Saccharomyces cerevisiae S288C: one gene and its partner. Changing the gene in region 1 together with any one later gene gives a genetic interaction. Each region holds a gene or a part of one and is shown on either strand. Other genes may lie near its edges.

Region 1 (16,653 bases):
GGTGAGCTTCCAGGTCACGGTCTACGGCGGGCGCAGTCGCATGTCTGCGTGAAAGATCGTACGAACGTTCACTACTCGTTTCATATACAACGTAGCAAGCGTGAATGATTGCTGGGAAGAATAACAGTAGGAAGAGAAGTAAGTTCAATAGTGTATCCCTGTTGAACATACCCTTACGCTTCCAGACGGCCACTGGGGGAATGAAAACCGCCAAAACCATTAACAACAAGTCGTCCTTGTTGATGGAATAGCTCATTCGATGGTCATGGTCATTAATATGGTCTCTGTCCATTTCTAAATTATATTTGGTTGTTTGCTTTCTGCTGGGTTTTTATTTTTTAACCTAGCCCCTTTCCTGCAGCTGGCTCATTCGTGCTGTACTCTCTTTCCTTTATATACTAGTGAGACCTTTTCCCCCGTTCCCAAAAAGAAAAAAAAAAAAAAAAAAAGAAAACGAGCCTTCATCACGTGCATTAAAGAAATAGTAATCCCAACGCACTCATCCGCTATATACATAGCGAAAAACTATATGCCCACTTCACAAATACGAGTTTGCATGTATAATATATAAGATTTATAAATGTTGTAGGGTGAATGTAAACGTTCAGTAATATACCGGTATATCTATCAAGATACGATCAATGCAACGCTTTACTGCACTGCACTACACCCCTTTTCCTCTACTTGTTTTTCTTAGTTCCTATTTCCCTCTCAAAATGCACCTGTTCACCAGAGTATTCTTTCTCATTGCAAGTATTACCCTACTTTATCGTCCCACACAAAGAGGAATATATATAGATTATAAGCGAATTGTAGATTTCGATGGAGATCTGATTTCCGTGCAAAATATCCAGGACGTCTATACACAGTGTTTACAACTCAGCTTATATTCATATCATGCCATTTCAAGATTATTTTCAGAAGAAAAAAGCAGCGTTCATTAACAGAAACAATAAAAGTAACGCAGATGCTTCAGCGCTACGAGATATTAACGATATTAACATAAATTTCGCCGCCAAGAGCAAAAACTACGTGTTCCCGCTAACAAAGCTCCCCGATGAGCTCATGCAAGAAGTATTCTCTCATTTGCCGCAACCAGACCGCTTGCAGCTTTGCCTTGTGAACAAAAGGTTGAATAAGATCGCTACCAAACTGCTTTATAGAAGAATATATTTGAACGACTCAAATGTAGTGAAGAGTGACTTCATGCATCTCGCAATTAATTGGACCCTACTGAACTTGCCGTCTTCGTTGAAAGAAGAGGAGTCCCGCGATATCGCCAACTGCAAATTGAAAAAACTTATAGAAACACTGCAAAATAATATTCACATTACTGAAGTCATCCAGTGGATAAGGATCAACTGGGATTTGGACTCTACCTTGCAAAGGTCCATTCTCAGCATCCTTTGCAATCAGGGCAAGTCCTTGCAAAGACTAGAAAACGTCACTGACCCGGCTTGTAACGATATCATCTCCAATGGTCACTTTTCCAGGAGCAACGTCTCAAGTTTCGACATGGCTCCTCCAAATTCATTGCCTGAGATGGTTGTTCCCGAAAATTACATTCCGAATCTCACCAAATATCTTTCACAGCGTATCTCTTCTCGGCTTTCTCATATGACTTTATTCATCGACCCTTTAAAACTGTTCAATTATCTTTACCCTTTAGATATCAAGTTACAAATCATCGATTTAAAATTGCATTGGAGGAGGGAGTTTTACAATAATGATTATTTTGTTAAAAAGATACGACCCGGCAATCCTCTGACTAAACTATCGGAGGTTTTTGACAAGAGGACATTGAAAATTCTTACCATCATTTCTTGGAATGACACTTTGTTAAAACGCGAGACAGAAATGCTGAAAGATTTTAAAGAATTTGAGAACCTGGAAGATTTGTCTTTGATTTCTATTAAGCAGGATGTTCATATCCTCGTAGATCTTTTTAGTTCGTTAACCAATTTGAAAAGACTAAAAATGGATTTCTTAGAGGAGTATGTACCTGAACCCACAAATCCTCACATATTTCTCTCCATTCTTTTAGCTTGCTCCAAATTGCAATTCATAGATCTGAGATACGACGGTCTTATCCCACAAATCATCAATATTCAAGAAAATAAGTTCCAACTAAATCAGCAATGCAACTGCACAAACTGTCAAATAGTATTCAGTGACATTCTGAAGGGCAAAATATTCATGTTCCCTGAAGACTACTATATTCACGATCTTCAAGACATTGCTGCAAAGGATATTTTTAAAATGATGAAATACCTATCTTTGTTACCATACTCTAAAGCTTGTGATGCTTATCCGAGCGTTAGAACACAACCAATGAATTTGACTAATTTTGTGACCAAGATGAACCGCAACCTTTTGGAATATAGAAATTCTAAATCCCAGTTGGTGCCCAAAATCGTTAATAACCCACATCAACACTCCACCGTGACTTCCACATCAACCGCTCATATGAGCGAGCCCGAAATGATAATAATCGATGACGATGATGATGATGATGAAATTAATGCGGCCATTCCTCCAAGTAGTGATGACACAGCAGCTACAATTTCCACTGACCTGGAACTTCCTCATGAATCATTGACCAAAAGAGATATTATTATGTGTTATCACGCTCTTATCCATCACTTCAAGTCGATTTACGTTACTTTTTTGAAAAGTTTTCCTCATTTGAGATTCTTGATGTTGAATGACATTCCCACAATAGTTATGGAGGAGAATAATGAACGTATTTTTGAACCCGTCTTTTATCATTATGATTATAAGAGTAATCTGTATGGATGGTCAAAGGAATCGAACAAGAATCTGGAGAACGACAGCAACAACAACAATAATAATTCTGATACCATTGCAAGAATAGCCACTGTTATGTAATCAACTCCCCTTCAAATATATATATTTAATAATATATATTCAACGCATTTTTTAAGCTAGCAGGATTCAGATTACTGGTCTACTTCATATTAAGGAAATACAAGATCCATTCGGATGCTAGAAAAAAATCAACCAACTATTCCAATGTTGGTAAGCTGGTTTGATAAAGTAAACACAAGATACTACAGTATACGATCACTCAGACATCCTAGGAAGGTCTCTAAAGAAGAGCGGTCACCGAGAGTACTAACGATGGGTTCGTAAGCGTACTCCTACCGTGGAAACTGCGAATGTTAAGGAACCAGTCTTTCATCACCGTGATCATAAATTATATATATTATCTGTCTCCTCAAATTACCCACATTTGATAATCTCATGAGAAAAAATAAAGGCTCAGATCTGCATGTGTTGTATAACACTGGCAAGAAAAGTTCCCGTTTGCAAACACAAATGATTAAAAAAAAATGTCACAGAAGCAACATCTTTTCAAAATCATTCGCATTAAGAGAACGAGATAAAATCCCTTGTCGTCATGGTCGAATCGGACGAGGAAAGAAGAGACACCATTATCATCAGGGCCAATCAATTCTTCTTTTCTGTTTAAAAAAGTGTCATGAAATTTCTCTTGAGATTATTCAAACTTGAATGTATCAAATGGGAAGGAGTGCAATGCTGAAGTCGAAAGAGGAGGATTACTCTCATTCTTACTACATTACAGTCACTGCTGTTTGTTCTTATGTAGGGGAATTCTTATTAACCGAATGTCGAGATTATTATAACCTTACAGAAGGTTGTCCAGTATTTATACATTTTGTTTCTGCCCATAAAGCTCTAGAAAATGAAAAAAAATTTTCTTTTCAGCCTGAGAAAGTTTTTTCTTAGGGCAGCGTGTGGTTATTGGGTGTTGCGAAACTTTTTTTCTCAAACATGAAATTAAAGAAATGAAAAATTTTATCGATGAGCATTGAATAGCTCAAGTTATAGGGTATTCGGTATCATATAGGTCTGTGATCGAGTGAGCAGTGAGCAGCTAGGATTCAATAAACGGGATTAACAAAAAATTGATATGTCCAAGCTTTCGAAAGATTACGTATCAGATTCAGACTCTGATGATGAAGTGATATCAAACGAGTTCAGCATACCAGATGGTTTCAAGAAATGTAAACATTTAAAGAATTTCCCTCTCAACGGTGATAACAAAAAAAAAGCGAAACAGCAACAGGTTTGGCTGATCAAATTCCCATCAAATGTGGACATCTCCAAGTTAAAATCTCTGCCTGTAGATTTTGAATCCTCTACAACCATGACAATTGATAAACACGATTATAAAATCATGGACGATACAGATATTGAGTCCTCGTTAACACAGGATAACCTCAGTAATATGACTTTATTGGTTCCTTCGGAAAGTAAGGAAAGTCTTAAAATTGCTAGCACTGCCAAGGATAATGCACCATTACAGTTTGACAAGGTATTTTCTGTCAGCGAAACCGCTAAAATCCCAGCTATTGATTACAGTAAGGTAAGAGTTCCACGTAAAGATGTTCCAAAAGTAGAAGGCTTGAAGTTGGAGCATTTTGCTACTGGTTATGATGCCGAAGATTTCCATGTGGCTGAGGAAGTTAAAGAAAATAAGAAAGAACCAAAGAAGCGTTCACATCACGACGATGAAGAGGAGTCTAGTGAAAAGAAGAAAAAGAAGAAGGAGAAGAGGGAGAAGAGGGAGAAGAAGGATAAAAAGGATAAGAAAAAGAAACATAGAGATTGAATGCGTATGTGCGTATAACTGTGTGTAACATAAGATAAAAATGTGCATTTGTGTGTGTGTCAGTGATTTTTTTTCGCATTTACATATATAAAAAGGCATTTCTGCTGGTGGAAACTGATGAATGTTTTGTGTGGGCAATATTACTATTTAGTTTTGCATACTTAAATTTGTGTATACGATTAGAAATTTCAATATTTCGGGTGTAACACAAACGATTATTTTTTTCTTGATTTAGAGTCGCCATATGAATATTATTAACCTGCTTTTTCTGTGTTCTCTCTTATATGAGGTTCAATGGTAAGTGTGTTTTTAACTCGTGTTCTTCTTCATTAATCATCTTTAATACACTTCCAAGGTTGACCTGTAAATCTTCAAAGATTAGTTTATCCTGGCACGTCCGATGGATACTCCGTATAGAAATATCTAAGGATCTAATAAATTTGTATTGGTCCATTATTGGTGTGGACGGTTTCTTCGGTGACTCCAGCATTATTTTGCTTTGTATACTCAATTTTACGATATCAATTAACCATTTTTTGACCAATTTTGGTTCCTCTTCAACGCATTTCGAAATAGCCCTTAAAATACGAACAAGCAGGATTTGATTTTGGGTGAAAGAGAAACCATCATCTTTATTGTGGTTCAGGACCGTTAAATCAGGCAATATATGTGACTTTTCATACAAAGATTGATAAATTAAAATCAAATCGTTATTCCTCCAATTTGCGCCTAAAAGCTTAATGTAATGAATTATATTTTGACGAATATTATCTTCAGATACGTTAGAAGTTAGACATCTCCACAAAAGACGTCGCAGAGGAAACGGTAGATCACTGTAATCGGACAACCAACGAGGCTCGTAGTCTTTTCTTATTTGCACATCGTGCGTTCTATAATACAACAGGATGGATATCACTACTCTTTGGTATTCGTCAAACAAGGCTCTGTGCTCCCATACTTTATCGAATTTGTTGAACTTTTTTGAGAGCAAAATTTCTGTTATTTGACGCACATTAGTTAACTTGCCCACATACTGCAAAAGCAGCAGCCTATCATATAGATCCTCGGACGATGAACCTTGTAGTTCCTTCGAAGAAGAACTTTTGTTATCCGTTGCCTGGGTAACTATTGAGTTCAAATGTGAGAAAAGCACATCGTAATGAACAGCTACTTTTTGTTTCTTGGACTCTACTTCCGGTAGATTTGAATTCAGTATTCTCAGGATGTTCTCTATATGGTGATTTTGAAGATTATTTTCTTTAGTGCGTGAACGATTCAATAAGGAACCTTGTTCATTAACTTCAGAAGATTCAAACAAAGGCCCCAACAACTTCACTGGACCTTTGGTCAAGTATTTTAGAGTTGATTTCAGCTCATCATCTTTCGACTTCAATAGTCGGGTTGCTAACTGAGAAAAAGTCCTCCTCATAATCAATGATTCCTGTAGATAAAATTGACAAAAGGCAGCGCACGCACTATTTCCCTTTAGCCAGCACAATTACTTATGCGTGTTGTTGTTTAGGGTTCGTAAATCTATATTGAAACGCAATTTATATTCTACTGTTTTCTTTTCGCACAAACAGAAAACCGCTGTCACATTATTGTATGACTGTTGATATCGGACCATCATTTTCGACACTTTCATTGAGGGGAAAAATGTTGGTGTCATTACGCTCTCTACTCATGTCTTTATGTAAGTATACGTTTACAAGATTATTTATATGCTATGACACTACGGGTTCTCAACTTGCAGCAAAACAAGAAGCAGTTAGCGGCACATTTCGGTGCAAAAACTTATCAGCAGTTTTTGCTGCCTCTCTTTCACTAATCTAACTTACTATGTACGGCCGATAGCAGTATATTGTGCTTTTTACTGTCTTTTATTACTTTTGCTGTTGCTCTTGCTCTTGACTGTTCCCATCTTTGCTTCGGAAATTTCCCCATGCGCTGCAGGACAGAAACACAAGCATGATTGAAGCAATCGAATTGTGCAGTCGAGTTCAAAATTGGCAGAGAAGAAAAGAGGTGGAAATTGCAACACGAATCACCGCTTTACCACGCAAAGATATCTGGATTCTTGATATCAATCTTTTTCAAATATATTTTATTTATTTATCAAAAGGGCAAGAAAGAAAAAACGATTGATAATAAAAATGGATAATCAGCAGGAAAGTATATCTGAAGATATCACCGGTGATCTGGCCGCTGCTGTGAGAAAGTCATGGTCCGAGTCACAAGATAATCCATTACTGTTAAATTTTAATAATTCTCCCATAGGTACTCCCACTGATAGGTACTCCCCTGAACCAGCAACGATGATGGAAGGAAATGCAATGAATCTTTCATCACTTGCGAGAGGGTCGACACAGCAGCAGCAAAGGCTTTATGGATCTTCTCAAACACGCGAAAAATCTGATCAACAGCAGCAGGATTATCAGCTGTTCAAACATCATTATTCTTTGGGACAGGAGACGAGAGAGTCTGTTTCAGATATCCTTAACGATTTGACTCTAGGATCTCCGGAACCAAGCGAAAGGGCATCACCAATAAGGCAACCATCGGTGGATGTTCCACCTTTAACTACAAGGCGTAGTTCTATACAGGACGTTCAGTGGATAAGACATTTACTGAACCCAAGAAGTTCGTTTTCCGGCGCATCTTCCAATGAACCAACCAACTCTCCTGGGGATTTTCTTAATCAGAGCAGGGCTTGGATAACAATACTGCACGATTCATCGGCAGAATCTTTACAGGCTGTCATCGTATTGGCCGAGTCATTGAAGAATGTCAATTCTCAGTATAATCTCTGGGTATTGCATTCCAGTGAAGTCAACGCCTTTCAATTGGCCCAGGTAGGAATCAAGACGCTGATAATAGATGAATATATCAATTTATTCATGAATTTCGGCACTGGCTCGGGATTTAGCGCAAGTTCGCAATCGACCGAAACCAAGGGCGAATTGAATTTTAAGTGGTGCAAGCTATTTCTTTTTTTTTCGTTAATTGATCGATTCGAATTGATTTGCTATTTATCCCCTACATGCCTGGTACTGCAAAATATTGATGAGCTTCTAGAGAGCACTGAAGTATCTGACGAGATTGATAACGAAACTTGTGTATTGTTATCGAATAAGGTAAATTATATAAATGAAGATCTCGTTAGCGTGAACCAAGACCAATCTTCCGCTGAAAATTATGATGACGATCCTCAAATTATTATACTGAAGCCGAACAGGGCAGTAGCAATGTGCATTAAGGAATACTTTACTATTTACGGGAACGATTTTGAAGGTGAAAGTAAAAGGTCGATGTTTCATCAAATGAACGATTTACAGATTATGAAAGCATTGTTTGGCGATAAATGGAGTTATATAGATAGCGTTGGATACTGTGCTGTTCCCATAGCTAGCGTGCCAGCGAATAGATTGAATTATAAGATAATCGAATTTAAAATCCTGAAACCTTGGGAAAGACAAAACTACATTGCTGCCGGTCAACATCGAGAATCTATTATGAACAAGTGGCTAGATCTTTGGCGAGACTTTTTGAACCAAGCAAACTAAATAAGAATAGTACTGCTTTTCCGCAATTCTTCAATATTCATTAAAGGCGGTCCGGTACCCTCTTCATAGTTAATCCCATCATACTTATAATGTGTTTCATTAAAATGCAGTTATAATAACAAAAAATTATATTTTTTTTTGCTGAAACATGCCGGTACACCGTATTTGTAATCACTTCCTTTTGTATACTACCACATAGTCATTATCCTTCTTTTTAATTCCTTTTTTTTTGGTTTCCTTTATCATCACTATATCTGAAAGTTCAAGGTTATTTTAGCACTTCTACATTCTCGGGTGTGGCTAGAATTGGGCGGAATGAAAAAAAAAAACTATGTCCATCGCTTTACTAATTAGTGATCGCACCAAGAAAAACGAGCTGTACATTGCAATTGTACCTCTTTTTTTTTTCCTACTTAGAATCCCAATCGTAATTAATTCACTAAATTAACATCCTTAAAATGAAATTCGACAATGACAGTGAGAAGCAGGTTTTCGATAAGCTTAAAAAAGCGATTCCTGGTATTATCAAGGAAAAATGTGCAGGATACGATGAATTGTATGGTTACAAGTTGAATCCTGAAGGTCTTACACAAGAGGAGGTTGATAAATACTATGACGAAAAAATCGCCGATCGTCTAACCTACAAACTTTGCAAAGCCTATCAATTTGAATATAGCACCATTGTACAGAACCTGATCGATATTTTGAATTGGAGGAGGGAATTCAACCCATTGAGTTGTGCCTACAAGGAAGTCCATAATACAGAATTGCAAAACGTTGGTATTTTGACATTCGATGCAAACGGCGACGCAAATAAAAAGGCTGTCACTTGGAACTTATACGGCCAACTGGTCAAAAAAAAAGAATTGTTTCAAAATGTGGATAAGTTTGTACGCTACAGAATCGGGCTCATGGAAAAGGGTTTGAGCTTATTAGATTTCACCAGCTCCGACAACAACTATATGACCCAAGTCCACGATTATAAAGGCGTCTCCGTGTGGCGAATGGATTCTGACATTAAAAACTGTAGCAAGACGGTCATTGGAATCTTTCAAAAATACTATCCAGAACTGTTATATGCAAAGTATTTTGTTAATGTCCCCACCGTTTTCGGCTGGGTTTACGATTTAATCAAAAAGTTCGTTGACGAAACCACCAGAAAGAAGTTCGTGGTATTAACCGACGGCAGCAAGTTGGGTCAATACTTGAAGGATTGCCCATATGAAGGGTATGGCGGGAAAGATAAGAAGAACAATCTGACCAAGCAAAATGTCACAAATGTCCATCCAACAGAATACGGCCTTTACATTTTACAAAAACAAATCATCGAGGACGTTGAGTGATTTGTTGGCATGATCTAATAATAGTCTCTTATATAAACCCTATAATAATTTCTTATTTTTGCCTTATATTCAGGTAAATCACCATCTAACTGTATTATCTCTCACGTATCTTCACTTATATGGCTCAGAAAACACCGTACGAAACGAAGGGGCTGCGAAAATGTTTCTAGAAGGTAATGGCAATAATAGGGATACAGATCGATCAGATCCGCCTATATAAAAGACAACGCACCGAAGGTGAACAAGATCGCAGATAAAGGTATTTACAAGGGAAAAAAGTCAGCAAAAACAAGAGATAAGATAACAAGAAGAAGATGTTAAGGAGGGAAACTTCAACAATATACAGGACACACAAAAAAAGCAACAGTAGTATACTCAGGAGCCAGCGGGACCAGACTAGAGTGGATTCCTTGGTAGAGGAGTCTCCCATGGGCGATTTCGGGATCAATAACCAGCCTACACAGCCTGGCGTGATATACTACTTTGTAGAGCTGACTAATTTAGGCATACAGGAAAACACAAGCAGTAATAATAACAACAACAATAATCATGGTGACGATGAAAACGGCAGTCGATACGGCCACGGCAGCAGTCTGGGTGGAGACGTTCACTCTCGCCGTTGTTCATGAACTCCAGCATTATAAAGCATATCTAACAATACCATTCGGGTTATACTGAATAGCCCACGCACGGGTTCGGGGTTGTAACGATTATATGCATTTCATAACATGCCACTGTCAGTGGCGCCACGGAAGGATAGCGGGACTTTATCAAATCATTAATTTCTGTGCATAAAGTGTATAGTATATTCATATAGATATGTATATATATCATTGAATACAGAAATCTTCGGGTGTATACAACGAACATTCATCGGACGCCTTTTTTACTGCTATTGTTCAACAAAGTGGGTAACCCGGCATTCTTGCGCCAAAGTTTCCATTTTTATGCCAAATCCAGAGGATAAAAGCACTATTCTCATCAAAAGATGGAAAAGCTGTGAAAGAGTCAAGTTCAGAAGAAAGCGTTAAGAAAAATAGAGTACACGGGAGCGTTATGTCAGCCGATCATTCGAGAGATCCATGTCCTATAGTCATACTAAATGATTTCGGTGGTGCTTTTGCCATGGGTGCCATTGGTGGTGTTGTTTGGCATGGGATTAAAGGTTTTAGAAATTCGCCATTAGGTGAGCGTGGTTCAGGAGCTATGAGCGCCATTAAAGCGCGTGCTCCCGTACTGGGTGGTAATTTTGGTGTGTGGGGTGGTTTATTTTCGACTTTTGATTGCGCTGTGAAGGCCGTTAGAAAGAGAGAGGACCCATGGAATGCTATCATTGCAGGGTTTTTCACTGGTGGCGCTTTAGCTGTAAGAGGTGGTTGGAGGCATACAAGGAACAGTTCGATCACGTGTGCTTGTTTGTTGGGTGTGATTGAAGGTGTGGGACTAATGTTTCAAAGATATGCTGCTTGGCAAGCCAAACCTATGGCTCCTCCTTTGCCCGAAGCACCTTCCTCTCAACCTCTGCAAGCTTAGGCATGTAGACATTATATGAGCCATTTTTTCATCGTTGTTGGAAGTACCCTTATTCGGCATGTTTTTTGTTACATAAATGACGTATCGCACTAGCCTCCTTTACGTTTTTACTTTATTTCAGCCTTTTATTTCAAGATTACCAACCATTTCTCTCAACCATGTACATATTATATATTGAAAAAGTACCATACTTCATCTCTGAAGAGAAAATATCAACAAGCCAAAAGCTAGTGCAGAAACTTTATAATGTTACTTTATTAATTGTAATGACTATACGTATAAGGAAAATTAAGAAAAGGCAAAATTCATATTTATTTAGTATATCATTATGGCACCAAGCCGTAATAAAATGAAATGGGTAGTTAAGAAAAGTCAGACAAAATAACGATTTATTCTTCGACAATGTGAAGTTTATTGAACGCGCTTGTTGGCCCTTCTTGAACAGAATGAGTAACAGCAAAATTATTGGAGATGTCGCCAGATGTATTCTCCTTCCTTTTACTGATAGCACCAATGTCGACGCTATCAGCACCACCAGTGGCAGAGCTAGGATTATAGACATAGTTGTGGCCTGCATTGTTACTAGAGTCGTTCGCACTTCCATATTCACTTTGCTGGCCTTTTGCATCGTCATGTTTTTCTGAAGGACCCGGTAAAGACGATCCTGGAGGAAACCACTCACCTGTAAACTCCTGCTTTGTTATGAAGGGGTGTAGCATAGCTTGTTGTGGTGTCCATCTTTCTAACGGGTTCAAATTTAGCACACCGCCTAAAAAGTGGATCAAACACTCCCTATTCTGCATTTCTTGGTCGATAAGTTCTTGGGAGTTCTGTATGCTTTTAGGATACCTGTAGTTTCTAATAATATCTGGTAACTTTCTCCACTTAAAATATTGTTTACTGGGCTTTTCCACTATATTGTATTCTCTGCAAAACTCTTCAATAGTTTTCATACGATGCTTTTGTGTAGAAGAAGAACTTTCTTCTGGTGCCAATTTCTTCATAAATTTTCCAGAGTTTTTACCCATATCTATCATCCACGATGGAGGATATCCAAGCGTGTCTATTATTCTTGTTAATTGGTTATATTCAGAAGCGCCTGGGAAGATCGGTATACCCAAAAATAATTCAGCAACAATACAACCTAACGACCACATGTCAATACTGGTTGAATACGGTATACCCAGTATAATTTCAGGAGCACGATAAAACCTGGACTGGATGTATGTATAAACGGTTCTTGCCTCTTCGCAAGATGAGCCAAAATCAATAATTTTCAATTCCGGCTTATCAGGTGCGCAGAGCAAGATATTCTCTGGCTTCAGATCGCAATGAATCAGTTTGCTTTCCTTCAAAACGCATAACGAATCCAGTATTTGAGTGGTGAATGTTCTGATAAGTTGTATAGAGAGCCCATGAAATTTGTTTTGTTTTAATAATTCGTACAAATTATTGCTTAGTAATTCAAACACTAAACATAAGTGGTTCTTGTGGACAAAGGAGTCATACATCCTTAAAAAATGATGTTTATTAGTAGGGTCTATCTTTTGATTCAGTAGCTCTAAAATTTTAGCCTCCGTTATACTTTGAGTCAAATATTCTGTCCTCGATTTAACCACTTTTACAGCCAATATCTCTTTCGTCAGCAAATTTTGACATTTGACCACTTGACCAAATGTACCTTGACCCAAAATGTCTAGCACAAGGTACTTTCTGTTCTGCTCTACACCCAAAACGTCATTTACATAAAGAATATAGTCACTGTTTATGTTGTCGAATCCGTTGTTACATTTCCCTTCACTGGGCTTCGTAAGTACTCTCTTGGGGTTTTTGGACGTTTGGTAGGTAAATTCTGGAGAACATAAAGAATATGTGGTAATCAGGCTTTTCGTGACACTGACTAGGGGAGATATCGTCTTGGAATTGAGCGACGCACGTCTAAACTTTGGAGTAGCATTTAAGACAGGTTGAAGATCGTTTTTAGAGTTGCAAAGTTGCATCTGAGGAATGGACAATTTCTGACCTTGTACTTCATCTCTTCGTAACTGCTTGAAAGGGGGTTGTAGTGGGGGACTTGTACTAGGAGGATATGCGCTAAGCCTCCTGTAAGGTGACATGACTGGTATGGAGTTTGTTCCTTGATTAGTATTTGAATTTAGGGAAGAAAAATTGGACGAATAATTAGTTGCAGCCAGACTCTGCCTTCTTTGGAAATCTTGACGATCATAAAGGGAGGGAACAAATCTGGATCCAAATTGGGAAGGATGGATAGCGCCCTGCTGGTATACTTGCTGTTGTTGTTGTTGATAGCCAGAAGGATACTGGCCACTGCTATTTCCTGCCAAACTCGTATTAGAGCTGGTGTAAGCGGGATAACTATCGTACTGGAAAGGATTTGGGGCAGGTGCCCTGGCTGGAGGTACAACGAGACTAGATTTACGTCGTCTGTACGCATCTAGACTTTCGTTACTGTTTAAGTCATCGTATTGAGGGGGATACACCAGGTTTTGTTGAGAATTAGTTACTTTTTCCTCATTCCAAGGGTTAACAAAGCAAAATTGAGAATTCTGTTGTTGTTGTTGTTGCTGCTGCTGCTGCTGCTGGTGATGATTCTGATGCTGCTGCTGTGGAGACCTTTGAGAGCCTTGATTTACGTACGATGGATTCCATATACCTCTCCCCATATGGCTATTGTCTGGGCTTGCTCTACCCGAGCCCATACTAGCATCACTGTGGGTCACAAGGGTCGGGCTCAAGGAGTTATTCATGTTGCTATTGGAGCTGGACGAGTCGTTATTATTGGATGAGTTCATGATTGCTCAAATTAGCATGTGAAAAAAAGATAACGAAATTATGTTCCCTTGCACAATGGCTGTTGCTCTTCACCAAAATTCTTCTTTCGATATATTCCCAAATCTAATAGTGAGAAATTTGTGTAATACCCCCAGTAATGGCCCACCAATTGTTTCCTTATATCTGTTTAGCATTGCGACTCATTCATTGTTCAGCCCAGAAGGGGTAAATCTGAGGAGGGGGCATTGCTTGCAATGGTTCAGAAGGGGCGGTTAGGGTTAATAAAGCCATCGCGCTATTTTGATATTTTTATTAGGCCTTTTATATTTTTTTTAGTTTTTTTCTCCAAATCCTAAATCCTTTTTAGGTGTCATTTACGTGCAACGCGACAATAGTGATATTGTCATTCTTCAAACTTTTTGCAAGGTAGCTATTAAACATACCTACACACATACGTACATGCTTAACGGTGAGACAAAAGTAAAGAAAGAGACTTGAATGGGTTGCTGCATCTTAATAAGTTGAGTTTGAGGGCGAAAGTACACAAATATTCATCCGTATTGAAAATATATATATAAGAATATAGAAAAATGAATGTTTCTACATCAACCTTTCAAACAAGACGGAGAAGATTGAAGAAAGTGGAGGAAGAAGAAAATGCAGCTACTCTACAACTGGGCCAGGAATTCCAGCTGAAACAGATAAATCATCAGGGTGAAGAGGAGGAATTGATTGCCTTGAACCTAAGTGAAGCCAGGTTAGTAATCAAAGAAGCTCTTGTAGAACGTAGGAGAGCATTTAAAAGATCGCAAAAAAAACACAAGAAGAAGCATTTGAAGCACGAAAACGCCAATGATGAAACTACGGCAGTAGAGGATGAAGATGATGATCTGGATGAAGATGACGTCAACGCTGATGATGATGATTTTATGCATTCTGAAACTAGGGAGAAGGAGTTGGAGTCTATCGACGTTCTGTTAGAACAGACAACGGGAGGAAATAATAAAGATTTGAAAAATACCATGCAGTATTTAACAAATTTCTCCCGATTTAGAGACCAAGAAACCGTCGGGGCAGTTATACAGCTTCTGAAAAGCACTGGGTTACATCCTTTTGAAGTGGCGCAACTAGGTTCTTTGGCCTGTGACACAGCTGATGAAGCAAAGACTTTAATTCCAAGCTTAAACAATAAAATATCAGACGATGAGTTGGAAAGGATACTAAAGGAATTGTCAAACCTAGAAACACTCTATTAATAACTGTATGTATACGTGTGTGTAACTAGTAATGAATTTTCACCCTGTGGAAGTTAGGCCTATTTAACAGGAAAAAGGACAGGATTTTAAATCTCGTCTTGCTCTTCTTTTAAGAAATATTTGCCGCTACCGTTTTTCCACCATCTCATCAAACAACTATGTGGGGTTATATCTATGACACTTTCATCATCGCTTTTGCATCTACACCTCTGATCGAGCCTAACAGCGTAAGATGCTGGACAGGTGCCAAACGGTGAGTGAAAATAGCCAAGTTCGTCAAAATGAATGATTTCGTCAGGTCTCAGCAGTAGGGAGACACCAATTGAATGTACAGGTGCGTCACCCCACCTTTCGTAGTAAAATCCGCCCTTGGCATCTAAAGTTTCAAAAAAATGCTTATATTCGTCACTTCTGAAGAAATTCAAGTCGCCAATCTCAAAATTCGACCAAAAATGGCACAAATTGTAGTCAGAGTTTGCTTCAACAACGGGATAATGCTTACCAACTAGCCCTGAATCGGTCAAAAATGCATAGGCACTGTCCTCTTTACGTAAAATGGTCTCTTCGCTGGCCACTAAATACTCCTCTACCGCGTCCCATAAGGTTGGTATGGTTTCTTCATATTCATATAATGATATGACAAATCCGTATTTTTTGCCCTTCAATCTCATAACTCTGAACGGGTCATATGGGAAATCGCAATAATACTTGACATTGGGTTCCACCCTAAAGTAGTAATCATAGTTGTCCAGTATTGACTGCCGGAAAAAAAAACCAGAATTAAACCGACACATATTTCTATATGACTTGGATCCCCCATATAAAACACCCTCATCCTCCATGACTCGAAGTCTTTCTTCAAAAAGTGTATCGTTAATCCATTGCGGCCGATTCCAATCTTCTGGTGGTATTAAAGCATATTGGGTCTTCCCACTCGCCATTGATGTTGTAGCTTCAATGAAGTCTTGATCGAAAGGAACGTCATTTAGAAAAGTCCAATCATAATGATACTTGTTGTTAAATCTGTCCTCTAATGATCTCATTGAATCCAATGCCCCTTCTAATTCTGAATTTCTCACCAGCATTAAAATTGTTGCATTTTCTCGTAGGTGAAAAGAATCAGAATCATTCTGTCTGGTATAATTTAAAGTGTAGTCGTCGTAGCTATTGCGGGAAAGTTTTACTTTAGGAAAATAGTTTCTTCTTCGACTTGTATCATATTGTTCTTTTACTCTTTGGGAAAGAGCAGTATACGTACTGTCAATCTTTTGGTATTTTCGTATGAGGAATAACTCTTTGCCAAAAATATAGATCATAAAGGTCCATATTGGTAAGAATATGCCAACGATGTATAGCGAGCCTCCTTTTGCCATTTTAACAATTTCTGATGATAAACTTCTTTAATTTTGATAGCGACTTCCAAGCATTAGATTTGGAGATGATATGAATAAGCAGTGACAGATTATTTCTGCAGATGAAAAATAAAGAGGCGTAGTACTTTGTCTTTA
Region 2 (16,777 bases), on another chromosome or scaffold:
GGGATGCCTAGGTTATTTAAGTATACGGTCAATTTCTTCACGGAGTCAATGGCATTACAAAAGATCAAAGTTGTACCTGGGAACATGGTTAAAAAGTAATAGCAGTATAGGTCACGTTCTAATGGAGGACATTCAATTAAGGATTCTTTGATTTGAGAGCTCACTTTTGACTCAGGATTTGTATCTATTATAACCGGCTTTGAGTTGAAGTGAATTTTGCTCATTAAGTGTTGTATTACGGCATTTAGCTCATCTTCGTTGTTTTTAAACCTTCTATCCTTAACTTGACGGGAAGAAGATAGCTTATCAAACAAGTCGATGGAGAATGTTGCAGAAAAGATCAAAGTTTGCCAAATTTTGCTACTGCCCTCGGAGTTTTCTCTGTTTTTCCTTCTTTCTACTAATAAATGTTTAATGATTTTTTCGAACTCGTCGAAATGACCGTCTTGTAACAGCCTATCAGCCTCATCAAGGATTAGCGTATTTACTTTCGAGAATCTTTTGATTAAAGTGTTGTCTTTTTCCAACAGTTCCAAAAATCTACCTGGTGTTGCGATGACAATTTGGCCACTATTATCGTACTTTAATAGACGTTGTTGTTTTTGGATAGAGAGTCCACCTGTCAAAGATAATATCGAGTACTGAGATTTCGCTAGAACAGGCTCACAGATCTTTTTTAAGTGGTCTGTGACTTGATGCGCCAGTTCTCTTGTAGGAGTAAAGATTAACGATATTGGTTTCTTGTTTTTCTGAGAGAAGTTACTGATCAGTTTCTCTACAATTGGAATACCATAGGCTAAAGTTTTACCTGAACCTGTAGAGGCTTTCCCCATGACGTCTACGCCTTGCATAATAACTGGAATAGACTTTTTTTGAATTTCTGTAGGTCTGAGAAAATTTAAATTCTGCAAGCTCTGCAAAATAGTCATTGAGAGAGGTGCAAGATTCGTCCATTCAGGTAAATTTACAGGAGAAATATCATCGATATTAATGTCTTTGTTAAAGACGTTTTCTTTCAAAACATCCTCATCCACATCCTCATCCACATCCTCACTGGGATCGGTTAACTTTGAACTCTCAATATTACCTTGCTCATCCTCGTCGGATGATGAATAAGATGCTGCACTCAACTCTCCTTCTTTAATATCGTCCAAGTTCTTGAATTCAAGGAGCTCGGACTCCGAATCTGACCCTGATTCATTTTCCACAGATTCCTGATCATCTCCGACTTTTTCCTTATTGCTATCTTTTAACACTTTTGAATCTTTTTTGGTGACGAAAGTTACTTTACCATCCACGACTTTAACGTCCACTCCGTCAATTTCTTCCAAGCCATAAAATCCACCAAAGTCATCTAAAGTGTCCGGAATATCTACTGGTTTCCAGTTCAATTTGGATTCATCTACAATTATCTCCTGTGGCTTTGTGACCGTTTTTCCTTTTTGAGGAGCCCTTTTCTTACCCATGATGGAAAAACTGATTATGCCGGTATTTGACTAAAGAATTTCTACCTGAGGTTATGATGATAATGATGGGCAGGTTGGCGAATATAACTTTTTTAGATGGAAATTCTTATAAGCTCATCGCTGGAAAAGTTTTTCAGAGAAAAAGAAAAGTACGGACTAACTAACCTTGAGGCGGGTTTGTGAGGTGAAAAAAAATATAACAATTATAATATCGATGAGCTAGCCATGACCTTGATGGCAATCTTGTATCAGCTTAGCGATACCACTAATACAGCGGAATGCATTCAAGAAAGTCGAAGAGTATTACGGGCAAGAGGAAGCAAGTAGGAAGTAACGTGACGAGAGTAATCAAGCCACAGAAGACAAGAAGGATAATAAGAAGATTCCACCATTTAATTAATAAGCGTCAATCGATATGCAAGTTTTTATGCCTTAAGGAAAACCTAGATGATTCCAACGAGGAGAAGAATGACAAAATTATCAGGTTAAGTATTAAAGGTAATGTAAGACTGGGCAAGTACTATGAAGACGGCAAATCGCAGTCCTTCAATGATGCTATGGAATCACAACTACTGAGGCTGCACTCATTAATTAAAAATGAATCCAAATCAAAGGATACTTCTGACTTGGCTGTGATGTACACATTACTTGGTTACATAATGAATCAGATTAATAAATTGGGAGGACTAGAAACTTACCAAATTGCCAGTCAAAACGGGCAATTGAAGGAACGAGGAGGAGACACGTCCAAGTTGCTCGAGAAATGGATCAGGTCCTCATTTGAAAATTGTCCTGGAGCAGTGGCATTAGAAATTGGTTCATTGAGCTCCGGAAATCGCATATCCCGTTGTGCACTTTTTAGAAATGTGGTTCGTATAGATTTAGAGGAACATGAAGGCGTTATTAAGCAGGATTTTATGGAAAGACCGCTACCGAGAAATGAAAACGACAAATTCGACCTGATATCATGCTCTCTAGTGCTAAATTTTGTCAAAAATCACAGGGATCGCGGTGCAATGTGCCATCGCATGGTCAAATTTCTCAAGCCGCAAGGCTACATCTTTATTGTTCTGCCACAAGCCTGTGTGACGCACTCAAGATACTGCGACAAAACACTGTTACAAAACCTCCTCGGCTCTATCGGGCTCATAATGCTTAATAGCCATCAAAGTAATAAGTTGTACTATTGTTTGTATCAATTGCAGGTAGTTCCACCGCAGCCGAGTAGCTTTTCCAAAAGAATCAAGGTTAACGACGGCCCTGGGTTGAACAATTTTGGTATTACCCTCTAAGCGAGCCGACACCGCCTGGAAGTTTTTCATAAAGGGATACAATATAGAAAGATGTGTAAAAACGTTAAGTAAAAGATGAGCAAATGAACAGTGTTCGAAGGAGAATAACAAGAGTTACTGCTCATATAAAACTAATATACTAAAGGTTTTCGCTTTGTATTACGATTGAAACAATTAACTGTTTTTTTTTTTTCCGCTTATTACACAGTACCGGTTTCATTTACGCCTTTGATCATTTTATTGGCATTGGGCTCATAGTAGTTTTCAGCGCGTGGTTAAGCTATTTAACGAAAGCGTATAAAGTCAAGTGATCATCTTTTGCCCTGCAAATAGAGCTTCAAACTTAACATTCTTCTTCAGCATATAACATACAACAAGATTAAGGCTCTTTCTAAAATGAATCAAAGCGATCCGCAAGACAAAAAAAATTTCCCAATGGAATACTCTTTGACCAAGCATCTTTTTTTTGATAGGCTTCTACTTGTTCTTCCCATAGAATCTAATTTGAAAACATATGCTGATGTGGAGGCAGATTCAGTTTTCAATTCGTGTCGGTCCATCATTTTGAATATAGCCATCACTAAGGACTTGAACCCGATTATCGAAAACACATTAGGTTTAATTGACTTGATTGTGCAAGATGAAGAAATTACGTCTGACAATATTACAGATGATATTGCCCATTCTATATTGGTTCTTTTGAGATTACTGAGTGATGTTTTTGAGTATTACTGGGATCAAAACAATGACTTCAAGAAAATTAGAAACGATAATTACAAACCGGGATTTTCAAGTCACAGGCCAAACTTCCATACATCTAGGCCAAAGCACACGAGAATCAATCCAGCTTTGGCGACGATGTTACTATGTAAAATTTCTAAGCTGAAGTTCAATACAAGAACTTTAAAGGTTTTACAGAACATGTCTCACCATCTTTCTGGCAGCGCTACTATCTCAAAATCGAGTATTTTACCCGATTCACAGGAATTTTTACAAAAGAGAAACTATCCAGCATATACCGAGAAAATAGATTTAACAATAGATTATATCCAGAGATTCATATCTGCTTCCAATCATGTTGAATTCACAAAGTGTGTCAAAACAAAAGTTGTTGCACCTTTATTGATATCACACACCTCAACCGAATTGGGCGTAGTAAACCACTTGGATTTATTTGGTTGTGAGTATTTGACTGATAAGAATCTGCTAGCATATCTGGACATACTACAACACCTGTCAAGTTACATGAAGAGGACCATTTTTCATTCGCTTTTGTTATATTATGCTTCCAAAGCTTTTTTATTTTGGATAATGGCAAGGCCAAAAGAATACGTCAAAATTTATAACAATCTAATATCATCAGATTATAATAGTCCGTCTTCTTCATCTGATAATGGTGGTTCGAATAATTCTGATAAAACGTCTATATCCCAACTAGTCTCACTGTTATTCGATGACGTTTATTCCACTTTTAGTGTATCATCATTATTAACAAATGTCAATAATGACCACCACTACCATCTTCATCATTCATCTTCTTCATCAAAGACGACCAACACTAATAGTCCAAACTCTATATCAAAAACGTCGATAAAGCAGTCGAGTGTGAATGCTTCTGGCAATGTTTCTCCGTCTCAGTTTTCTACTGGGAATGATGCATCGCCTACTTCCCCTATGGCATCATTGAGTTCACCCTTAAACACGAACATCCTAGGGTATCCGTTATCTCCAATCACTTCAACACTAGGACAGGCGAATACTTCCACATCGACTACGGCTGCAACTACCAAAACAGATGCAGATACGCCCTCTACTATGAATACTAACAACAATAATAACAATAACAACAGCGCTAATCTTAATAATATTCCACAACGCATATTTTCCTTAGATGACATTTCATCCTTTAACTCGAGTAGAAAATCACTCAATCTAGATGATAGTAACTCCTTGTTTCTTTGGGATACTTCTCAGCATTCTAATGCATCGATGACAAATACAAATATGCATGCAGGAGTTAATAATTCTCAGTCTCAGAACGATCAGTCTTCTTTAAACTATATGGAAAATATTATGGAGCTGTATTCCAACTATACCGGATCAGAACTATCCTCCCATACTGCCATATTAAGGTTTTTGGTGGTTCTGACCTTATTAGACAGTGAAGTATATGATGAGATGAACTCAAATTCGTATAGAAAAATTTCGGAACCGATAATGAATATTAATCCGAAGGACTCTAATACTTCAAGTTGGGGCTCAGCATCCAAAAACCCAAGTATCAGGCACCTCACCCATGGCTTAAAAAAACTTACTTTACAGCAAGGCAGGAAACGTAACGTTAAATTTTTGACATATTTGATTAGAAATTTGAATGGGGGACAGTTCGTTTCAGATGTTTCCTTGATTGACTCTATCAGGTCCATTCTATTCTTAATGACAATGACGTCTTCTATATCCCAAATCGATTCAAATATTGCTTCTGTTATTTTTTCGAAGAGATTCTACAACTTGTTGGGTCAAAATTTAGAGGTCGGCACCAATTGGAATTCTGCCACTGCAAATACTTTTATTTCTCATTGTGTTGAAAGGAATCCCCTTACACATAGGCGTTTACAATTAGAGTTTTTTGCAAGCGGTTTACAGCTGGATTCTGATTTATTTTTAAGACATTTACAACTGGAAAAAGAACTCAATCACATAGACCTTCCCAAAATATCGTTATACACTGAAGGATTTAGGGTATTTTTTCACCTAGTAAGCACCAAAAAACTTCATGAGGATATTGCAGAAAAAACCTCCTCTGTGTTAAAGAGACTTTTCTGCATAATTGCTGATATTTTGTTGAAAGCAACGCCTTATTTTGACGATAATGTAACCAAGATTATTGCTTCTATATTGGATGGGCATATTTTAGATCAATTTGACGCTGCGCGAACACTTTCTAATGATGATCATGTCAGTTTTGATGCTGCCACAAGCGTTTACACTGAGCCAACCGAAATTATTCATAACTCATCGGATGCCTCGTTAGTCTCTTCACTTTCCCAATCACCCTTATCAATTAACTCAGGAAGCAATATCACCAATACGCGCACCTGGGATATTCAATCAATCTTACCAACCTTATCGAACAGATCAAGTGCTTCTGATTTGAGCTTGTCTAACATTTTGACTAATCCGTTGGAGGCACAACAAAATAATAATGCAAACTTGTTAGCCCATAGATTATCTGGGGTTCCTACTACTAAGAGATACGCTTCACCGAACGACTCTGAAAGATCACGACAAAGTCCATATTCTTCTCCGCCGCAATTGCAACAAAGTGACTTGCCTTCTCCGCTCTCAGTCCTCTCGTCAAGTGCAGGATTTTCTTCTAATCATTCGATTACGGCAACCCCAACTATTTTGAAAAACATCAAATCTCCAAAACCAAACAAAACAAAAAAAATTGCTGATGATAAACAATTGAAACAGCCTTCTTATTCAAGAGTAATACTGAGTGACAATGATGAAGCAAGAAAGATTATGATGAACATTTTCAGCATTTTCAAAAGAATGACCAACTGGTTTATACGCCCAGATGCTAATACAGAATTCCCGAAGACTTTTACGGATATTATAAAACCACTTTTTGTCTCTATATTGGATTCTAATCAAAGACTACAAGTTACAGCGCGGGCTTTTATTGAAATCCCATTAAGTTATATAGCTACTTTTGAAGACATTGATAATGATCTTGACCCAAGAGTACTGAATGACCATTATTTGTTATGTACATATGCCGTTACTTTGTTTGCTTCATCATTGTTTGATTTGAAGTTAGAAAATGCGAAGAGAGAGATGCTACTAGACATTATTGTTAAATTTCAACGAGTCCGTTCTTATTTATCAAATTTAGCAGAAAAACACAACCTAGTCCAGGCAATAATTACGACGGAGAGGTTGACGCTGCCATTATTAGTTGGTGCTGTAGGAAGTGGAATTTTCATTTCATTATACTGCAGTCGTGGAAATACGCCACGCTTAATAAAAATTTCATGTTGTGAATTTCTACGATCCTTGAGATTTTATCAAAAATACGTAGGCGCTTTGGATCAATATTCCATTTACAATATTGATTTCATAGATGCTATGGCCCAGGACAATTTCACTGCCTCAGGATCAGTGGCTTTGCAACGGCGTCTAAGAAATAATATTTTAACTTATATCAAAGGATCCGACTCAATCCTTTTGGATTCAATGGACGTGATTTACAAGAAGTGGTTTTACTTCAGCTGTTCGAAATCAGTTACGCAAGAGGAACTAGTAGATTTTAGAAGCTTGGCAGGCATTCTAGCTTCTATGTCAGGTATTCTGTCTGATATGCAAGAGTTGGAAAAAAGCAAGAGCGCTCCAGATAATGAAGGAGACAGCTTATCATTTGAGTCACGAAATCCCGCTTATGAGGTGCACAAAAGTCTTAAACTCGAGTTAACGAAAAAAATGAATTTCTTTATTTCAAAACAATGTCAATGGTTGAATAATCCAAATCTATTAACAAGAGAAAATTCGAGAGATATATTAAGTATTGAGTTGCATCCTCTATCTTTTAACTTATTGTTTAACAACCTAGGACTGAAAATAGATGAACTGATGTCAATTGATCTTTCAAAGTCACATGAGGATTCATCGTTTGTTTTACTAGAGCAGATAATAATTATAATAAGAACTATACTAAAGAGGGATGATGATGAAAAGATAATGCTACTCTTTTCGACGGACTTGCTTGATGCGGTCGATAAGTTGATCGAAATAGTGGAGAAAATTTCCATCAAGTCCTCCAAATATTATAAGGGAATTATCCAAATGTCGAAAATGTTTAGAGCATTTGAGCACTCTGAAAAGAACCTGGGCATTTCAAATCATTTCCATTTAAAGAATAAATGGTTGAAGTTAGTTATTGGTTGGTTCAAACTATCTATTAATAAGGATTATGATTTTGAAAACCTGTCAAGACCATTAAGGGAAATGGATTTGCAGAAAAGGGACGAAGATTTTTTGTATATCGACACTTCTATTGAATCTGCAAAAGCATTGGCTTACCTAACACATAATGTTCCTTTAGAAATACCGCCTTCAAGCTCAAAAGAAGATTGGAACAGATCTTCTACAGTATCATTTGGCAATCACTTTACTATTTTGTTAAAAGGTCTGGAGAAAAGCGCGGACCTGAATCAGTTTCCAGTTTCATTAAGGCATAAGATCAGTATACTTAATGAAAATGTAATAATAGCGCTAACGAACTTATCTAATGCCAATGTCAACGTTTCTTTAAAATTCACTTTACCAATGGGTTATTCTCCAAATAAAGATATCAGAATCGCCTTTTTAAGAGTTTTCATCGACATAGTAACCAACTATCCAGTTAACCCTGAGAAACATGAAATGGATAAAATGCTAGCTATAGACGACTTCCTGAAATATATAATCAAGAACCCAATATTAGCATTTTTCGGAAGTTTAGCGTGTTCTCCTGCTGATGTTGATTTATATGCTGGTGGATTCTTAAACGCCTTTGACACTAGAAATGCGTCTCATATCCTTGTTACTGAGCTCCTTAAACAAGAAATCAAACGGGCCGCAAGATCAGACGATATTCTCAGAAGAAATAGTTGTGCAACAAGGGCTTTGTCACTTTACACTAGATCTAGAGGTAACAAATATTTGATAAAAACTTTGAGACCCGTTTTGCAAGGGATAGTGGATAACAAGGAGTCTTTTGAAATTGATAAGATGAAACCAGGATCCGAAAACTCCGAAAAGATGTTAGACTTATTTGAGAAGTACATGACAAGATTAATTGACGCAATTACAAGTTCTATTGATGATTTCCCAATAGAATTAGTTGATATCTGTAAAACAATTTACAATGCTGCTAGTGTAAATTTTCCAGAATACGCATATATTGCCGTTGGGTCATTCGTTTTCTTGAGGTTTATCGGGCCTGCTTTAGTTAGTCCTGATTCGGAAAATATCATTATTGTTACGCACGCCCATGACAGAAAGCCCTTTATTACACTAGCTAAAGTTATTCAAAGTTTAGCTAATGGCAGGGAAAATATATTCAAGAAAGATATCTTAGTTTCAAAAGAAGAGTTTTTGAAAACCTGTAGTGATAAAATATTCAATTTTTTGTCTGAATTGTGCAAGATACCGACTAACAATTTCACCGTCAATGTAAGAGAAGATCCGACACCAATAAGCTTTGACTACTCATTTTTGCATAAATTCTTTTACCTCAATGAGTTTACCATAAGAAAAGAAATTATTAATGAATCCAAATTACCAGGGGAGTTCAGCTTTTTGAAAAATACTGTTATGCTCAACGACAAAATTCTTGGTGTATTGGGACAACCTAGCATGGAAATAAAAAATGAAATTCCTCCTTTTGTAGTCGAGAATCGGGAAAAATATCCTTCATTGTATGAATTCATGAGTCGCTATGCCTTCAAAAAAGTGGACATGAAAGAAGAAGAAGAGGATAATGCGCCATTTGTACATGAAGCAATGACATTGGATGGCATACAAATCATTGTCGTAACTTTTACCAATTGCGAGTACAATAATTTTGTAATGGACTCACTGGTCTATAAAGTTCTGCAGATATATGCAAGAATGTGGTGCTCTAAACATTATGTAGTTATCGATTGTACCACCTTTTATGGGGGTAAGGCTAATTTCCAAAAATTGACTACTCTATTTTTCAGTTTGATACCAGAGCAAGCATCAAGTAATTGTATGGGATGTTATTACTTCAACGTCAACAAATCATTTATGGACCAATGGGCCTCATCATATACTGTAGAAAATCCGTACTTGGTCACTACAATTCCCCGTTGTTTCATCAACAGCAATACTGACCAAAGTTTGATAAAGTCCTTAGGATTGAGTGGTAGGAGTTTGGAAGTTTTGAAAGATGTAAGAGTTACTTTGCATGATATTACCCTTTATGACAAGGAAAAAAAGAAGTTTTGTCCCGTGTCCTTGAAGATAGGAAACAAATACTTCCAAGTTTTACATGAGATTCCGCAGTTGTACAAGGTTACCGTATCAAACAGGACATTCAGCATCAAATTCAACAATGTTTACAAGATATCAAATTTAATTTCAGTCGATGTCTCTAACACCACAGGCGTTTCCTCGGAATTTACGTTAAGTCTTGATAATGAAGAAAAGTTGGTATTTTGCAGTCCGAAGTACCTAGAAATTGTGAAAATGTTTTATTATGCCCAGTTAAAGATGGAAGAAGACTTTGGTACGGATTTTTCGAACGATATTTCATTTTCAACATCCTCTTCAGCAGTTAATGCTTCTTACTGCAATGTTAAAGAAGTTGGTGAAATTATATCACATTTGTCATTGGTGATCCTTGTAGGTTTATTCAATGAGGATGATCTCGTCAAAAACATATCATACAACCTTCTCGTGGCAACGCAAGAAGCATTTAATTTAGATTTTGGGACAAGGCTTCACAAATCCCCAGAGACATATGTACCCGATGATACCACCACGTTCTTGGCCCTAATTTTCAAGGCTTTTTCAGAATCTTCAACGGAACTAACTCCATATATATGGAAATATATGCTGGATGGCCTTGAAAACGACGTGATTCCTCAAGAACATATTCCTACGGTTGTCTGTTCATTGTCATACTGGGTACCAAACTTATATGAACATGTATATTTGGCAAATGACGAAGAGGGACCAGAGGCGATTTCACGTATAATCTATAGCTTAATCAGGTTGACGGTCAAAGAGCCAAATTTCACGACAGCTTACCTTCAACAGATTTGGTTTTTACTGGCATTGGATGGTCGTCTCACGAACGTGATAGTTGAAGAAATAGTAAGTCATGCGCTGGATAGAGATTCAGAAAACAGAGACTGGATGAAAGCTGTGTCAATACTAACCAGTTTTCCAACGACAGAGATTGCTTGTCAGGTAATAGAGAAGCTAATAAATATGATCAAATCTTTTCTACCTTCTCTAGCAGTTGAGGCTTCCGCACACAGTTGGTCTGAGCTTACTATTTTATCAAAAATTAGTGTGTCAATTTTCTTTGAATCACCCTTACTTTCCCAGATGTATTTACCGGAGATTCTTTTCGCTGTGTCTCTGTTAATTGATGTCGGTCCTTCGGAAATAAGAGTCTCATTGTACGAGTTGTTGATGAATGTTTGTCATTCTTTAACCAACAATGAGTCCTTACCTGAAAGGAATAGGAAAAATTTGGATATCGTCTGTGCAACATTCGCACGTCAAAAGTTGAACTTTATCTCCGGTTTTAGCCAAGAAAAAGGTAGAGTTTTACCAAATTTTGCCGCTTCCTCCTTCTCCAGTAAATTCGGAACATTAGATCTCTTCACTAAAAACATTATGCTATTGATGGAATATGGTTCTATTTCAGAGGGTGCACAATGGGAGGCAAAATATAAGAAATATTTGATGGATGCGATTTTTGGCCATCGGTCGTTCTTCTCTGCGAGAGCTATGATGATTCTAGGTATAATGAGTAAGTCGCACACGTCCCTTTTCCTTTGTAAAGAACTTTTAGTTGAAACCATGAAGGTCTTCGCAGAGCCAGTTGTGGATGATGAACAAATGTTCATCATTATAGCTCATGTCTTTACTTACAGCAAAATTGTCGAAGGGTTAGATCCTTCTTCAGAATTAATGAAAGAGCTATTTTGGCTTGCTACAATATGTGTTGAATCCCCTCATCCTTTACTCTTTGAAGGTGGTCTCCTGTTCATGGTAAATTGTTTGAAGCGACTGTACACGGTCCATCTTCAACTTGGATTCGATGGCAAATCGCTAGCCAAAAAATTAATGGAATCTAGAAATTTTGCTGCTACGCTTTTGGCTAAGTTAGAGTCATACAATGGATGCATATGGAACGAAGATAATTTTCCTCATATTATTTTAGGTTTCATTGCAAACGGTTTATCCATTCCTGTCGTAAAAGGAGCCGCATTAGATTGTCTACAGGCCCTTTTCAAGAATACATATTACGAAAGAAAGTCCAACCCAAAATCCTCCGATTATCTTTGTTACCTTTTCTTACTCCATTTGGTCTTAAGTCCTGAACAACTTTCTACCTTGTTACTTGAAGTCGGCTTCGAAGATGAACTGGTACCTTTAAATAATACACTAAAAGTGCCACTTACTTTGATCAACTGGCTAAGTTCAGACTCAGATAAATCTAATATAGTCTTATACCAAGGAGCACTTTTGTTTAGCTGTGTTATGTCAGACGAACCATGTAAATTCCGTTTTGCTCTATTGATGAGGTATTTGCTCAAAGTCAACCCTATTTGTGTATTCAGGTTCTATACGCTGACTAGAAAGGAATTCAGGAGGTTATCAACCCTAGAACAATCATCTGAAGCGGTTGCTGTCTCTTTTGAATTGATTGGGATGCTTGTTACACACAGTGAGTTTAATTACCTAGAGGAATTTAATGATGAAATGGTCGAACTTTTAAAAAAGAGAGGCTTGTCAGTTGTGAAGCCTCTGGATATTTTTGATCAGGAACATATAGAAAAGTTAAAAGGAGAGGGTGAACATCAAGTGGCAATTTATGAGAGAAAAAGATTAGCAACAATGATACTGGCAAGAATGTCGTGCTCCTAATTTTAAATTAGAGTATTGCAGTGATTATATACGTTTTTCCTTATAATTATATTTTGTTTTATATTTGTTGGATTGTAGATTTTAAATTAAATGAAACGTAGAGATTTGTGTAAAGTATAATGATTGCAAGGTTAAGAGTGAAACATTTTTAGAGCACTACTAACTAGCATTTTCCAAGGTGGAAAGATCCGAAAAAGCACGATTACCGGAAATCCAACTGTTGACCATTTCCAAACTTGCCTCCGGTTGATCATAGGGCACCATATGACCGGCATCGTATATTCTCAAAAAGGTGAAAGGGCCATAGTTCTTGACTTGTCCCAACTCTTCACCTGTTTCTTTACTGACCCATGGTCTTAACATCCTTCTCTGATACCTACGTTTATTGATCCATTCCAACTCATTGGACCAAGCATGGTTTCCCAGCCAATTACAAATATAATCCTTATCACCCGCATATATTAATACCGGAATGTTGTGATTTAATAATTCAGCAATATATTGTTGAAATGGTTTACTTCCATCGCCCGTAAACAAAAATCCGGTGAACACGTCATTATCACAGCCAGAATAATTATGCACGTCGGACCCTAGCGTTTCTTGAACTTCAGGAAAATTCATATACTGGTCGACATAGCGGAGACCTGTATAACACATACCATCAGTACTATTATCTTCACAGGGCCCTCTAATGTCATAGACGTTGAGTCCTGTGTTAATGTACGGTTCCAAAAGTGCAGAGTCACAGTAAGCAGTGGCGACTATGCATGGTAAACTTGATTTAGAAGCATAACATAACTTGTTCAACCTACGACAACGACCTGCAGCTTTACTCATTTTCTCACATTCTTCTGATGAGAGAACAGGGTGATAGCCCCCTTTCCCGCATGCCATTGGTTCATAATAATCTGCTTGAATCAAAGGGTCTGTGATACCATTACCAATCATAACTGAAGTTAAATTGAACGTTCTTTCAGGGTTCTTGACAACGATCTCATGTGCAATTTGAGGGATATAATGTCCTGCATAGGATTCGCCTGCAATGTGGAAATCGTTGGAGCGTAAATGAGGAAAAGCTTCAAAAAACAATTCCAGGAAAATGTACGCATCTTTGCCTGCTAATTTTGTAGAGGAGACTTTTTCATCACCATAGGAAAAGCCGACTCCGAGTGGCTGTTCTAAGAAGATCATTGAAGCGTTATTATTCCAAGAATAGGGATTGTGGATTGGTTTCATATCGGCGCCAATTGATGAGGGGCCTAGTTCAAATAGCAACCCAGTAAACGAGGAACAACCAGGTCCACCATTTAACCAAAGAATAATTGGGTCGTTAGCAGGATCGTTCCTACTTTCAAAAAACCAGTAAAAAAAGTGTTTGGAATCCTTATAGTCCATGTAACCCGACCATTGTTTTACGGTGTCAATTCCTAGTTTAGAAGGATCTACTGTTCTAAGTCTCAAACTGTAATCTGTGTCCACAGAAGAAATAAAAGTTGTAAACAGCGGATCATCGTGATTCAAACGGTCCAATTTAAGGGTTTGCTGTGTATTCTGTGGAAGCTTTAGCTGTTTATCCAAATTGGCAAAGGTGGTATCATCTTCAAAAAGAGAAAAGGCTCGGCCGAATGAGGCGTATTTGATGCTAATAAGAAGCTGAAGCACGAAAACTAAGTTTAGATACTTCATTGTATGTCGGTATCACTTTTTGTATAGCTGTTTTAAAGAAAAAATGCAGGATGACAATTTTCGTTCTTATATAACCCCTGTCCCCTGACATTTTTCGATAACGAAGCGTTATCTCACCTTTCGTAGAATGCTAGCGCCGCCTCGGCCATTTTTAGGAAATTTCCTAAATCGCTCACATTGTAAACAAGAACATCTTAGAGAACTCTAAGCACTTTTAGAAAAAAGGATTATACTAAACGAGTCAAAAACTATTTATCCAACAAGTCACAGATTGGAATAGTCTCGAAAACTTGATCCAACCACTAATTAAAAGGTTAAAATTAAAGGATGGAGAAAGATCAAATCCAGCCTAGGGTGTTGGAGTCAGTAGACACAAACTCATTATCCTTGCTTTCGTCCAATACCAGCTCAAATATGAATAGCAACACCAACAATAAACTCAGTATAATTGCCAGTGATATTTCTACAGGATCCGTACTTTCCAGGCCCTTGACTCCTCCAGTCGTCCAGGATATAGAGAATAACTCCATGTTACAATGGCAATTTGAAAAGAAGGAATTTATCTTCGATAGTAACAGCACTCCTTCGAAGCAGGCAAAACCATTGCAGAGAAATTCTCCATACCAAGGCAATAGTCAAAGTGAAAATCAGAACCAACAGTTATTGAATGTAAGAAAGCGTCGCTCACAATTGATAGGTGCCAAGCCTAAAATTCCATCCAAATTGTACCAATCTGTTTCCAAATTAGATCTAATTGATGACAAGAGCTTTACGTCTTTGCCAATTGCGCCTCCATGCAATATCGAAACTAATGAAGATGACAGTGGAAACAACGAATACAACAACAATAAAAAACGGCCCAGGTTGAATCCTGTAAATGAACTGCGAGTGCATAACAACAAACGTAATAGGTACGTCAGTTATGGGCCGAGTTTAGATACAAAAAACTACGAGCTAACAGAAAATACTTCTCAGGATATACCACCGCTAGTCCTGGTTGAAGACTACATACCGTATACCCAAAGTAAATCAACAAAAAAAATGGTATCTATTTCAGATTTGAAATCAAAACTAAGTAAAAGAAGAGATAATCATATCCCGCTGAGAGTAAAAAATTCATATTCTGAAATTAATAAGGAAACCAATAGAAATAGCTTTGAACCGAATTCACTAACACTGATACCCCATATATTAAGGAATACTGAAGAAAATAGGGACGAAAGTAACAACCCCTTAGATTTTATCAAAGAGGAAATTGAAATAAGTGATATTTCCATACCAAATTCCATTGAAAATATGGTGGTTAACTTGGTTAATATTCCATCTTCCAATAAAAGTTACGATGATCTTTATCTATCGGAATTAAATGTTCATTCCCAACTGAGGAAATGTGTCATCTGCGAAAAGGCCCTATATGAAATTAGCTCGAGACTTTTAAATTCAGGATACTATAAAGAAATTGTATGTGAGCAATGCACAGTTAGATATGAAGAAGCCGCTAAAATCTTTGAGAACTGCGAGTTCGAATCATCTATGGATGAATCAAATCTAAGCAGCGGTACTTTTAGTGATCTAGAGAATTCAGCAGAACCGTTTCATTTATCGACAGATGTTCCAAAAAAAATAAATAGGCACATAGAAGATAACAAGATCGACCTTAAAAAGGAAATATCAAAAAAAAAGGACAGCTTCTCTAAGGAACTAATAGAACGATTGCAGTTGCAATTGCTAGAAAATGATAAGTCAATCAAACATCATTTTAATAAAGATGCAATGGGCTCTAAATCAATGAATTGGTTTTTGGAAGCAAGAAGAAAATTGAAGTGGAAGTGGAGAATAAATGGTTTACTTCCGCATTTCTTACGCAATCAAAATAGTGATCGTTTAAATTTTCAACCTTGAAAATACATTGCTAAGAGATCACTAAAACAAACAGGACTGCATTGGTGCTGTGTATTTTTTCAAGGGCAAAACAATCAATATATATATGAAAAGCTTACGACTAAATAACAGTTATACTAGTAACGGGTAAAAAATATTCTATGGTGTTCAAGCCTCTATTTTACTTCTACCTACATTCTCAATCCAAATTCAAATCTTCTTCTAGACTTTCATTAGCAAATGCAATTAAAGAGCTGACTGCCATTAAATGGTCTTCTTCCTGCTTCAATCCACTTATAGTTAAGCAGGCATAGGGGTAGTCACTTCTCTCCGATTGTATTAGGACAGCACCTCCATGGAAAGCGTATTCTTTTGAGTCCACAAAAAACTTTTCCTCCGGTGTTTTGTCACCTTTCTTGCAGCCCATATAGAAACTTGAATGACCAAATCGAAGCGCTGTCTTCTTCTTTCTCTGGATCCAAAAATCATTGTCCAATGCACTGCCACCGTAGGTCACTGTGCGAAACAAGCAATGCCCATTTGGTAAGGAGATATCAATTGCAACTGGTTTTTCGGGGAAATTTTCTTTAACTGCATTTCTTATGTAAGTCCCCAAATCAAAGGCATCTTGATATGTAAAAGTAGACAAAAAGCATCGTTTTTCCATATCTTCGAGCTCTTCTAAGGGAACCTTACGAGAAGTCAATCTTTCCAATAACTTCTTGTCTAAAACCACCATAATAATTTTCTCCGTAGACTTTTTTTGAATAATTTGCT

What was found.
Region 2: mutations in SFH5 (region 1) and BMT2 together harm fitness more than expected from each alone (negative genetic interaction), as found in Saccharomyces cerevisiae (2 studies listed by BioGRID).

Annotation. Positions count from the first base shown.
Region 1 is NC_001142.9:136,482-153,134, forward strand, and holds SFH5 (Sfh5p), read left to right. Parts: upstream 1-8,678; coding exon 8,679-9,563; downstream 9,564-16,653. Other genes in the region: SNA3 (Sna3p), read right to left, coding at 1-292; SCF ubiquitin ligase complex subunit DAS1, read left to right, coding at 898-2,889; DNA-directed RNA polymerase I subunit RPA34, read left to right, coding at 3,956-4,657; SMT1 (Smt1p), read right to left, coding at 4,938-6,086; IDS2 (Ids2p), read left to right, coding at 6,811-8,220; ROQ1 (Roq1p), read left to right, coding at 9,878-10,192; protein transporter TIM17, read left to right, coding at 10,620-11,096; IRC9 (Irc9p), read right to left, coding at 11,338-11,730; serine/threonine protein kinase YAK1, read right to left, coding at 11,486-13,909; DNA-directed RNA polymerase II subunit RPB4, read left to right, coding at 14,480-15,145; and 1 more. UniProt on the Saccharomyces cerevisiae protein: Non-classical phosphatidylinositol (PtdIns) transfer protein (PITP), which exhibits PtdIns-binding/transfer activity in the absence of detectable PtdCho-binding/transfer activity. Regulates PtdIns(4,5)P2 homeostasis at the plasma membrane.
Region 2 is NC_001134.8:513,006-529,782, reverse strand, and holds BMT2 (25S rRNA (adenine2142-N1)-methyltransferase), read left to right. Parts: upstream 1-1,744; coding exon 1,745-2,758; downstream 2,759-16,777. Other genes in the region: MAK5 (ATP-dependent RNA helicase), read right to left, coding at 1-1,466; GTPase-activating protein IRA1, read left to right, coding at 3,155-12,433; ATG42 (carboxypeptidase C), read right to left, coding at 12,593-14,119; YBR138C (uncharacterized protein), read left to right, coding at 14,447-16,021; YBR137W (uncharacterized protein), read right to left, coding at 16,200-16,739. UniProt on the Saccharomyces cerevisiae protein: S-adenosyl-L-methionine-dependent methyltransferase that specifically methylates the N(1) position of adenine 2142 in 25S rRNA.